Drosophila melanogaster: one gene and its partner. The protein of the gene in region 1 binds, or shares a complex with, the protein of each later gene. Each region holds a gene or a part of one and is shown on either strand. Other genes may lie near its edges. The genes, in order: Trax and trsn. A codon is read from its position in the direction of its gene.

Evidence for each region.
Region 2: the proteins of Trax (region 1) and trsn are in contact, whole or in part, in a crystal structure (PDB 3RIU), measured with the Drosophila melanogaster proteins. Residues at the interface, in NP_650454.2 of Drosophila melanogaster: Gln33 (codon at 1,748), Phe34 (codon at 1,745), Ile36 (codon at 1,739), Tyr37 (codon at 1,736), Ser38 (codon at 1,733), Glu40 (codon at 1,727), Leu41 (codon at 1,724), Lys44 (codon at 1,715), His45 (codon at 1,712), Leu105 (codon at 1,532), Val110 (codon at 1,517), Tyr111 (codon at 1,514), Gln112 (codon at 1,511), Arg114 (codon at 1,505), Thr145 (codon at 1,412), Lys146 (codon at 1,409), Ser147 (codon at 1,406), Asp150 (codon at 1,397), Trp151 (codon at 1,394), Gln152 (codon at 1,391), Pro195 (codon at 1,262), Gly238 (codon at 1,133), Tyr239 (codon at 1,080), Ser241 (codon at 1,074), Leu242 (codon at 1,071), Asn243 (codon at 1,068); in NP_610591.1 of Drosophila melanogaster: Asp8 (codon at 1,550), Phe10 (codon at 1,544), Asn12 (codon at 1,538), Tyr13 (codon at 1,535), Gln14 (codon at 1,532), Tyr16 (codon at 1,526), Ile17 (codon at 1,523), Gly83 (codon at 1,206), Tyr86 (codon at 1,197), Arg87 (codon at 1,194), Thr116 (codon at 1,045), Arg117 (codon at 1,042), Gln130 (codon at 947), Asp137 (codon at 926), Val138 (codon at 923), Glu139 (codon at 920), Tyr141 (codon at 914), Leu142 (codon at 911), Leu178 (codon at 803), Gly181 (codon at 794), Phe182 (codon at 791), Leu184 (codon at 785), Leu185 (codon at 782), Asn186 (codon at 779).

Annotation. Positions count from the first base shown.
Region 1 is NT_033777.3:15,359,743-15,363,668, reverse strand, and holds Trax (translin associated factor X), read right to left. Parts: upstream 1,978-3,926; 5' UTR 1,845-1,977; coding exon 1,132-1,844; intron 1,082-1,131; coding exon 898-1,081; 3' UTR 819-897; downstream 1-818. Other genes in the region: CG6171 (uncharacterized protein), read left to right, coding at 1-292, 354-517, 572-783; Cog2 (component of oligomeric golgi complex 2), read left to right, coding at 2,092-2,184, 2,237-3,307, 3,362-3,926.
Region 2 is NT_033778.4:10,478,468-10,482,096, forward strand, and holds trsn (translin), read right to left. Parts: upstream 1,645-3,629; 5' UTR 1,572-1,644; coding exon 1,497-1,571; intron 1,444-1,496; coding exon 1,356-1,443; intron 1,290-1,355; coding exon 1,193-1,289; intron 1,131-1,192; coding exon 1,015-1,130; intron 959-1,014; coding exon 627-958; 3' UTR 544-626; downstream 1-543. Other genes in the region: Pef (peflin), read left to right, coding at 1,788-1,796, 1,856-2,075, 2,623-2,702, 2,760-2,823, 2,896-3,122.

The DNA of each region.
Region 1 (3,926 bases):
GCCTAAGAAAGCGCGTAAAATCGGAGGAGCCTGTGGCGTCCATTAAAGATGAAACAAATCCTGAAGTTCCTATGAAAATAAAAGCTGAGCCAGTGGAGAATGCAGATGAGCCCACAAGCACTACTCCTGCGATCAAGATTAAAGCCGAACCAGCGGACAATGGAAACTCACCTGCAGCTGCGATGGTAAAAACCGAGCCCACTAATAGCAATGCACAGGACGCCGCCGACGAGTCTACCGTATCTTCAAGCAGTATTAGGACTTCTTGTCGCTTCGGCATACGATGCTACAGGTGATTCACACTAACCAACTCCCATATTACCAACTAAAAATATACCTTTTTCCAATGACAGGCGAAATCCAGCTCATCGTAGTGCAGAAGCTCATCCGGGGGATCAGGATTACCGGCGACCAAACTTTCCAGCGCCACCCCTCGGAACTCCAGCTTGTCCTTTCGGTAACGCATGCTATCGCCGTAACCCAGTTCACTTCCAGGATTACTCCCATCCTGCGGATTGTAAGTAGAAGGCTTGGCATACTTCGGCTTCAAATTGGCTAAAGCCCATTGTAGTCAATTCCGCGCAGAACATTCGAAATCGTCTGCGTCAACGGCGAGCCCAACGGCAGAACGACGATGACTCGGGGACGGATGAGGAGGATGAACCCTTTGGTGGCGACAATGACAGGGATGCGGACTACCGTCCAGGCGCAGACATAAACGAAGATGAGGATGATGAGCTGGAGTTTGATAGCCAACCAATAAGTGGGGATGACTATGATTAGACTATAAATTCAAATTCGCTGTTAACTTAGATGATACGTTCCATTTGCCGAATAATAGGCTTTATATATATATATTATATTCTGTTGATGAAAACTTATGTCTATGGAGTTCCATTAGTAGAAGCCCTCGTCAACTTCATCGGCTGGCTTTTGATCAAAAGTGGCGCCCCATTTTGCAGCCTCTCCGCCGCGAACTTTTACATTGTAGCAAACATTCTCGGCCTTAAGAACGCTCTGCTTCATGGTAGTGATCTTACGCCATAGTTCACGGGCTCTCTGACAGTTTAGACTGATGTAACTGAAAACAATAGGAAGTTAATTGAGTTTCTTAAGGGAGAACTAACCAACCCGCTGTAGAAATGCTGCAGGGCCTTGCAGGTGTCCAAACAGGTGTCTGTATCTCCACTGCCTAGCGAATTTATGCAGCGGCGCATCAGTTCACCAGTAAGATCCGAAAGTCCAAGTATATATTCCGTGGGGTCTACGAAAAACTGGAACTTCTTTGGGCTCTCAACCTGAGCTATAGCCTGAACATCTTCGCCTTCAGTTGGTTCTTCCTTTGGCTGGCTGCTCTCCTCGACGTACTGCATCACCGCCTGAATGGCCTGCCAATCTGAAACGCTCTTGGTTTCGTTCTCGCCCTCAGCATCCTCGTGGCACAGGTACTCCATGTAGGTGTAGGCCTCGATAAACTCCTGCAATCCTGGAGAGTAGGAGCTGCGGAACTGGTAGACATCCTGGTCGCGCAGTTCCAGGGCCACAGCCCTAAAGTTAACCGCGATCAGCTTGTTCAGTCGCTGACGTGCCTCCTCCAGGACCTTCTCCTTATTCTGCTTACGCGAGTCAATGGAGTGCAGCAGGAAGATGATACGCTTGGACTCGATGGTAATGTCACGGCTCAGCTTGACAATTCGCTCGTGGCGATCGTGTTTCATGATCAATTCATTAGAATAAATTCGAAATTGTTGGACAATGGGACTGTCTTCATCCAGCTGGGCAGCCGGTATTTGGCGCTTCCTGGGAGCAGTGTTCCTGTGACCAGCACCTCCGTTTTTCGGCATTATTGATATCTTACGCGATTCTATTTGAACGGCTTAAATATGTTTTTTTTTTTGTTTTTATTTTTTTAGATTTTCAATCGCGTCGGCAAAAAATTTATTGTAAACAAATGTCCGATAATTGAGGTATTAACCATATCGATAGTTGCCGACAAATATCGCCACCTGATATCGGTGCTAAGACCCGAGAAACTTTCGTGGCAAGAATTTGTTAAAAATATACAAATAATTAAATTCCAGCCCTAAGGCAATGCATGATCCGGTCAAAAAGTCGGCTCACTTGACCGCTGGCTCCACCAGCACAGCGGAGAAGCTGTGCTTCGACAAGAATGAGTTTATGAAGGTCAGTAATCCATGTCAGATATGTGTTCCCTTGCTAAAATTACTTCGAACAGGCAAACTTCTCGGTGGATGAGTTTCTGCACAAGAACCGCAATGCGCCCAGTCTGGAGCAGCTACGCGACAACCTGGGCCTTTACCTCAAAGGTCTGCGGGCGGCCATGATAGATTTGATCAACGAGGATTACGCAGACTTCGTAAACTTGAGCGCAAACCTGGTGGGACTGGACCAGAATATAAAGACCATTCAACAGCCATTGGAGCAATTCCGCAGCGACATCGAGAGCATTCACGGCTTGATAGATGAGAACGTGACCGAGCTGCGGGCCCAGTTGGAGGAAAAGCGTCAGCTTCGCGAGTTCAAACGCGGTCTGCAGAGCCTCAAGAAAGTGTATGAGACCATTAACAAGCTTCAGGATCTAATCGACCGAAAGCTCAGCGGGGAACAACCAATTAAGGCCGTTGACCTGGAGCGCGCTGCTCTGGACCTGATTCAATTGAAGTTCCATGAGAAACACTGTTTCAAGCACTTAAGTCCCGACCATCAAGGGAAGATCCAACAGCTAGAAGAGCAATTGCATCAGCATCTGCGACGCTTCTTCAATGACGCCCTTAGCCAGGCACGCAACTCGGCACCGGAATCCTTAGAGCGCTGCTTGCGGATCTACATAACTCTAAATGCCTGTGATCAGGCAGAGTGCGCCTTCCGCGAGGATGTGGTGGCACCGTATATGACGGGCGTCATTGGCGAACAACAGTTGCAAAACTCGCCGCAGGGATTAGCTGGCATCTACAGCAAGATCCTCAACTTTATATCGCTGCATATGACCGATTTGCTGCGCCTTACGCTTTACTCTGATAAGTTTCCGGGCTTTAACTTCGTGGTTAATAGTTACTGGTCTGATGTGGAGACGCGTCTCGAACTGCACATGAATTCCATATTTGCGCCTGGCAATTCGGAGGTGTTCTATGTAAAATACAAGTGCACTCGCGATTTCCTGGGCAAAATAGAGGAGCTATTGACCTGCTCCGGAGAGCAGGCCGTAACGTTCTATCGCCAGCACAAGCAAACAAAAAGTTTTGAGGCTCGCTGGAATCTTCCGGTTTACTTCCAAATATGCTTTCAAGTATGTAAATAAGTTTATATAGTAGAATTTTCGATTAATGTGAAATGCTTCTAGGAAATTGCTGGTAAATTTGAAGCCCAGTTGGAGCCGGTGCTCCAGGAGGATAGTTTAAAAGATAATCTCACCGATAGTGACTACAAAATATCCGCATTTAATGCCGCGAAGGAGGCTATGACACGGTGCTGGGCCGAGGGAGTTTACCTACCCGAAGTATTTCCGAAATTTTACAAACTTAATGTGCAGGTGGTACTGCGTCTTTCGCGCTGGATCACGGATGCAATTACTCAATCGAAAGGCAGCAACTTTTCTAAGCCCTACACTCGAAACCAGTTGCTTATTGCCCTCCATGCTGACATTCGCAAACTTGACGCGCATCTGCCAGAGCTTCAGCAATTGATTATTAAATCAGTGCCCGTTGAACAGTGTACGAAGATCTTTAGCGACGTTTTGGCCAAATCGATGTCCTGCCTAGCCGACACGCTAGGTGCGCATTTGACCAACATACAAAAGACCTTAGTGGAGTTGCTGATCGGAGAATGCGAGACGGAAAATGTGCGACAGGTAAACGACTTGCCGCGGCTGTATCGCAAGACGAATCGAGAGGTTCCCACACGATGTT
Region 2 (3,629 bases), on another chromosome or scaffold:
GGAAGGACGACGGACGACGAAGCAGCAAACAAGAAAATGCAAAGACGCGCGCGCAATGTTAACGTTGTAAGCGTTGCGGTGGCAAAAGAGAGACTGAAACTGCGCCTGAGAAGCAGAAGCAAAGGCGAAACGGAAGCAGCGGCCAAAGAAGAGCAGCAACAAATCCACCATATGATCGGGGCAACAACAACAACTGCGGCCCAGTGGTGGTGGCTAAACAAGTTTCAAAAGGGTTAAGCCATCAAACTTCTGCACTTGTCTCTATGTATACTTAGTTATGATTTAATCAAAACGCGCACAGCCATTTTAATTACCTTTAAGTTGCACAAACTTATGTTTTTTTGTTATGGTTCAAAGCACTATTTCGCTTCTGTGTAAACTGATCATTAAAATAAGATGGTGCCTATTAAGATGTAAAGAAATGTGTTCTGAAAAAAAACAAAAACACATTTCAGATTTTTAACACAGGATTACATACATATATCCTGCTACATTTGATTCCTACGAGCATTCCTGATTTAAATAGTAAAATAAAATGATACTCTGTTTAATGAATGTAATATATTTGCTTGTTTAAATGAAACTTTTTCATTTTAATAAACGCCTTATCCTACGTACGAAGTAAACTATTCGGTTGCAGGAACAGCCGGCTCCTCCTGCTGGTCCTTTTCCTTGCTGGACAGACCGCGTATGCTGACATCGTAGACGACCTCCTCGATCTTCTTGACATCATACTTTAAGGCATCGAAGCGCTTTCGCAAGCCATCGTTCTTCAGGTTCAGCAGACGGAAGCCCGTGTTCAGGTCACCAATAAAATGGGAGATATTCAGGGGACGCTCGTAGTCGCCCATGGTGACGGAATTGGTAGCGAATCGGGAGAGCTCCGACGCCAACTGCAGTATGCCCAGTAGATAGTCCTCCACATCCAGATGGAAGCCCTCAGACTGGCTGATCTTCACTGTGGAGTAATTAACTATTATTTCGTATCCAGAGAGCCTTCCAAATCTAGCTTACATCCCAGCATTTCGGCCACTGTTTCGCGGGTGACCAAGAAGCCCGCCTCCAGGTAAATAACCAAGGCAATGATGAAGATCAAACGCTGCGTAATGAAGGTCCAGTGATCGGAGTATCTGGAGAAGGCGGAGCATTCGACACCCACAATAGACACCACGGATTTCACCATCTGACTCACCTGTAGTACTGCCCAGCTGGCACCAGTTCGGCCAATTTCTGGTACTTTTGGGCACACAGCTCAACCTGTTTGCGGGCTAAGCCGCAGGCGGCACTAACTATTGTTCAAGTATAATGTCATATTAGAACAAAACATACAAGCTACCAAATTGTACAGAACTTACTCTGGCTCAAATCGCTATGAATAATCTGCAGTTTAATCTGCGCTTCCTTTGACAAATGCTCGATTTCGCGCACCACAATGCGGATGTTCTAAAAACAATGGTTTAAGATGGTGGTTTTTAGGATATTAACCGTCAACTCACCTCCCTGACTTCCTGTTCATTGTCTATGTACTTTTGGTAGTTGGAGAAGATGTCCAAGTTCACGAAGTTCGACATTTTTGCTTAATGTTTTGCTGCTTTTGTTAGTTGTTTATACCGGCGATAGGGATGGGAGTATAGCCAAGCAATAAGTCTAGCAATGCTATCGATATGTCACATTGTTATCGCTTGCCCAAACCAGTGTTGGTGAACGCCCTTCTTGTCATCTGTAGTTTCATTAAAATTGTTTTGTCCCTCAAGTTCCAATTAGAATCGAACTAGGCTCGTGACAAAATGTCTTATGTGAGTGTGTTTATGCTTAAGAAAGTGGATTAAATGTACTTACTACCGTTTATCCACAGGGACAAGGCTATAACCCGTATGCCCAGCCCGGTGGTGGCTATGCCCCGCCGCCAGGAGCATTTCCGCCGCAGAATGCCCAGGTGTCTCCGCAGGCACAGCAATGGTTCTCCATGGTGGACCGCGACCGATCTGGAAAGATAAACGCTTCCGAGTTGCAGGCGGCCCTGGTGAATGGGCGTGGCGATCACTTCTCGGATAATGCCTGCAAGCTGATGATAAGTAAGCTTAAGCCCTGCCCAAAAAAGATCCCAAAGTTTCCTCTACAGGAACTGTGACGTCAGTAGGTGAACACTAACAAACGTGTATACACTGTATACTATACAGTAGACCCTCTAAAAGACGATCATAAGCTAAACTAGTTTGGTAGGCAATATAGTAACACAAGAACACAAGAACAGGTTGTCGATTTGAATCTTCTATGCGTAGCCTAGCACACCCGCTGTATGCCAAGAACCAATGAAGGGCACATGGGCACATATATTTAGATCATCCTGTGAGCTGATGATAGCTAAGTAAGCTTCAGTTATGAAATACTTTAAAATTCCTTCGATTCCCCTTCCGGAAACTGTGACGTCAGTACTCCCCTAACAGACAGTCAGTATCAATTTAGTTATACTTTCGGCTATAAATGTTTCACTGTATTTATTGCCCCAATTTAGGGTACATGCATATTTGTTTAGATCACCTGGAGCGCCAGACACTTTTCCGTTTGTTTACCCTGCGATTTATGTTGTATTTTTATCGCCTTTTTTAATTTACTCAACAGGCATGTTCGACAACGACGCCAGTGGTACCATCGATATCTATGAGTTCGAGAAGCTCTACAACTACATCAACCAATGGCTGGTAAGGTATTTCTTATATCGAAACTAAGTAGTCTGACTCATTGTATCACTGTTGCAGCAAGTCTTCAAGACCTACGATCAGGACTCCTCTGGACATATCGAGGAACAGGAGCTGACCCAAGGTAAGCTAACACAACAACTGAATCTCCAATTCCTTTATGGCCTTTTACACTAATTACCAAACTTGTTGGCAGCCTTCACCCAGATGGGCTTTCGATTCTCGCCCGAATTCATAAACTTCCTGGTGAAGAAGAGCGACCCCCAGGGCCACAAAGAGGTGTCCGTGGATCAGTTCATAGTGCTCTGCGTGCAGGTGCAGCGTTTCACGGAGGCCTTCAGGCAGCGCGACACCCAGCAGAATGGAACCATCACCATTGGGTTCGAGGACTTCCTCACCGTGGCCATTGGCTGCTCGTATTGAAAGAATGATTCAATGCAACCGCTCCATGGGAATGCATCTCCACAGTCTTGCACACACACACACACACACTACAGCCAACAGTGGATGATCATAAATTTCGCGACTGGTGCATTTTTCTTAAATTTTCAACGGTGTTAGCTTTTTAATATGTAAATGAATCACTCCACAGTCATATTGCAATCTCCTGGTATCAGAATCAAATTTCAAAAGTATTTGTTAACGCAGTTCGACTCAATAATCATAGTACAAAGTCTCTTGCGCCTAATAATAAACTATACACACGTATTTTTAAAAATTAAAAGATATCTGCGTTTTATTTAAAATGTAAACATTGTATATGAAAAGTTCATTATAAAATCATGTCTTATTTTAGCAGTCACACTGCCCACAGTTCGTAATCGTGTCTTCGTCGATCGGTGAAGACCACGTGATATGCAGTTAGGAATTATAATCTTATTAAGTATACAATCATAAAATATCGGGCGATTCAATGTGACGGCACACAAG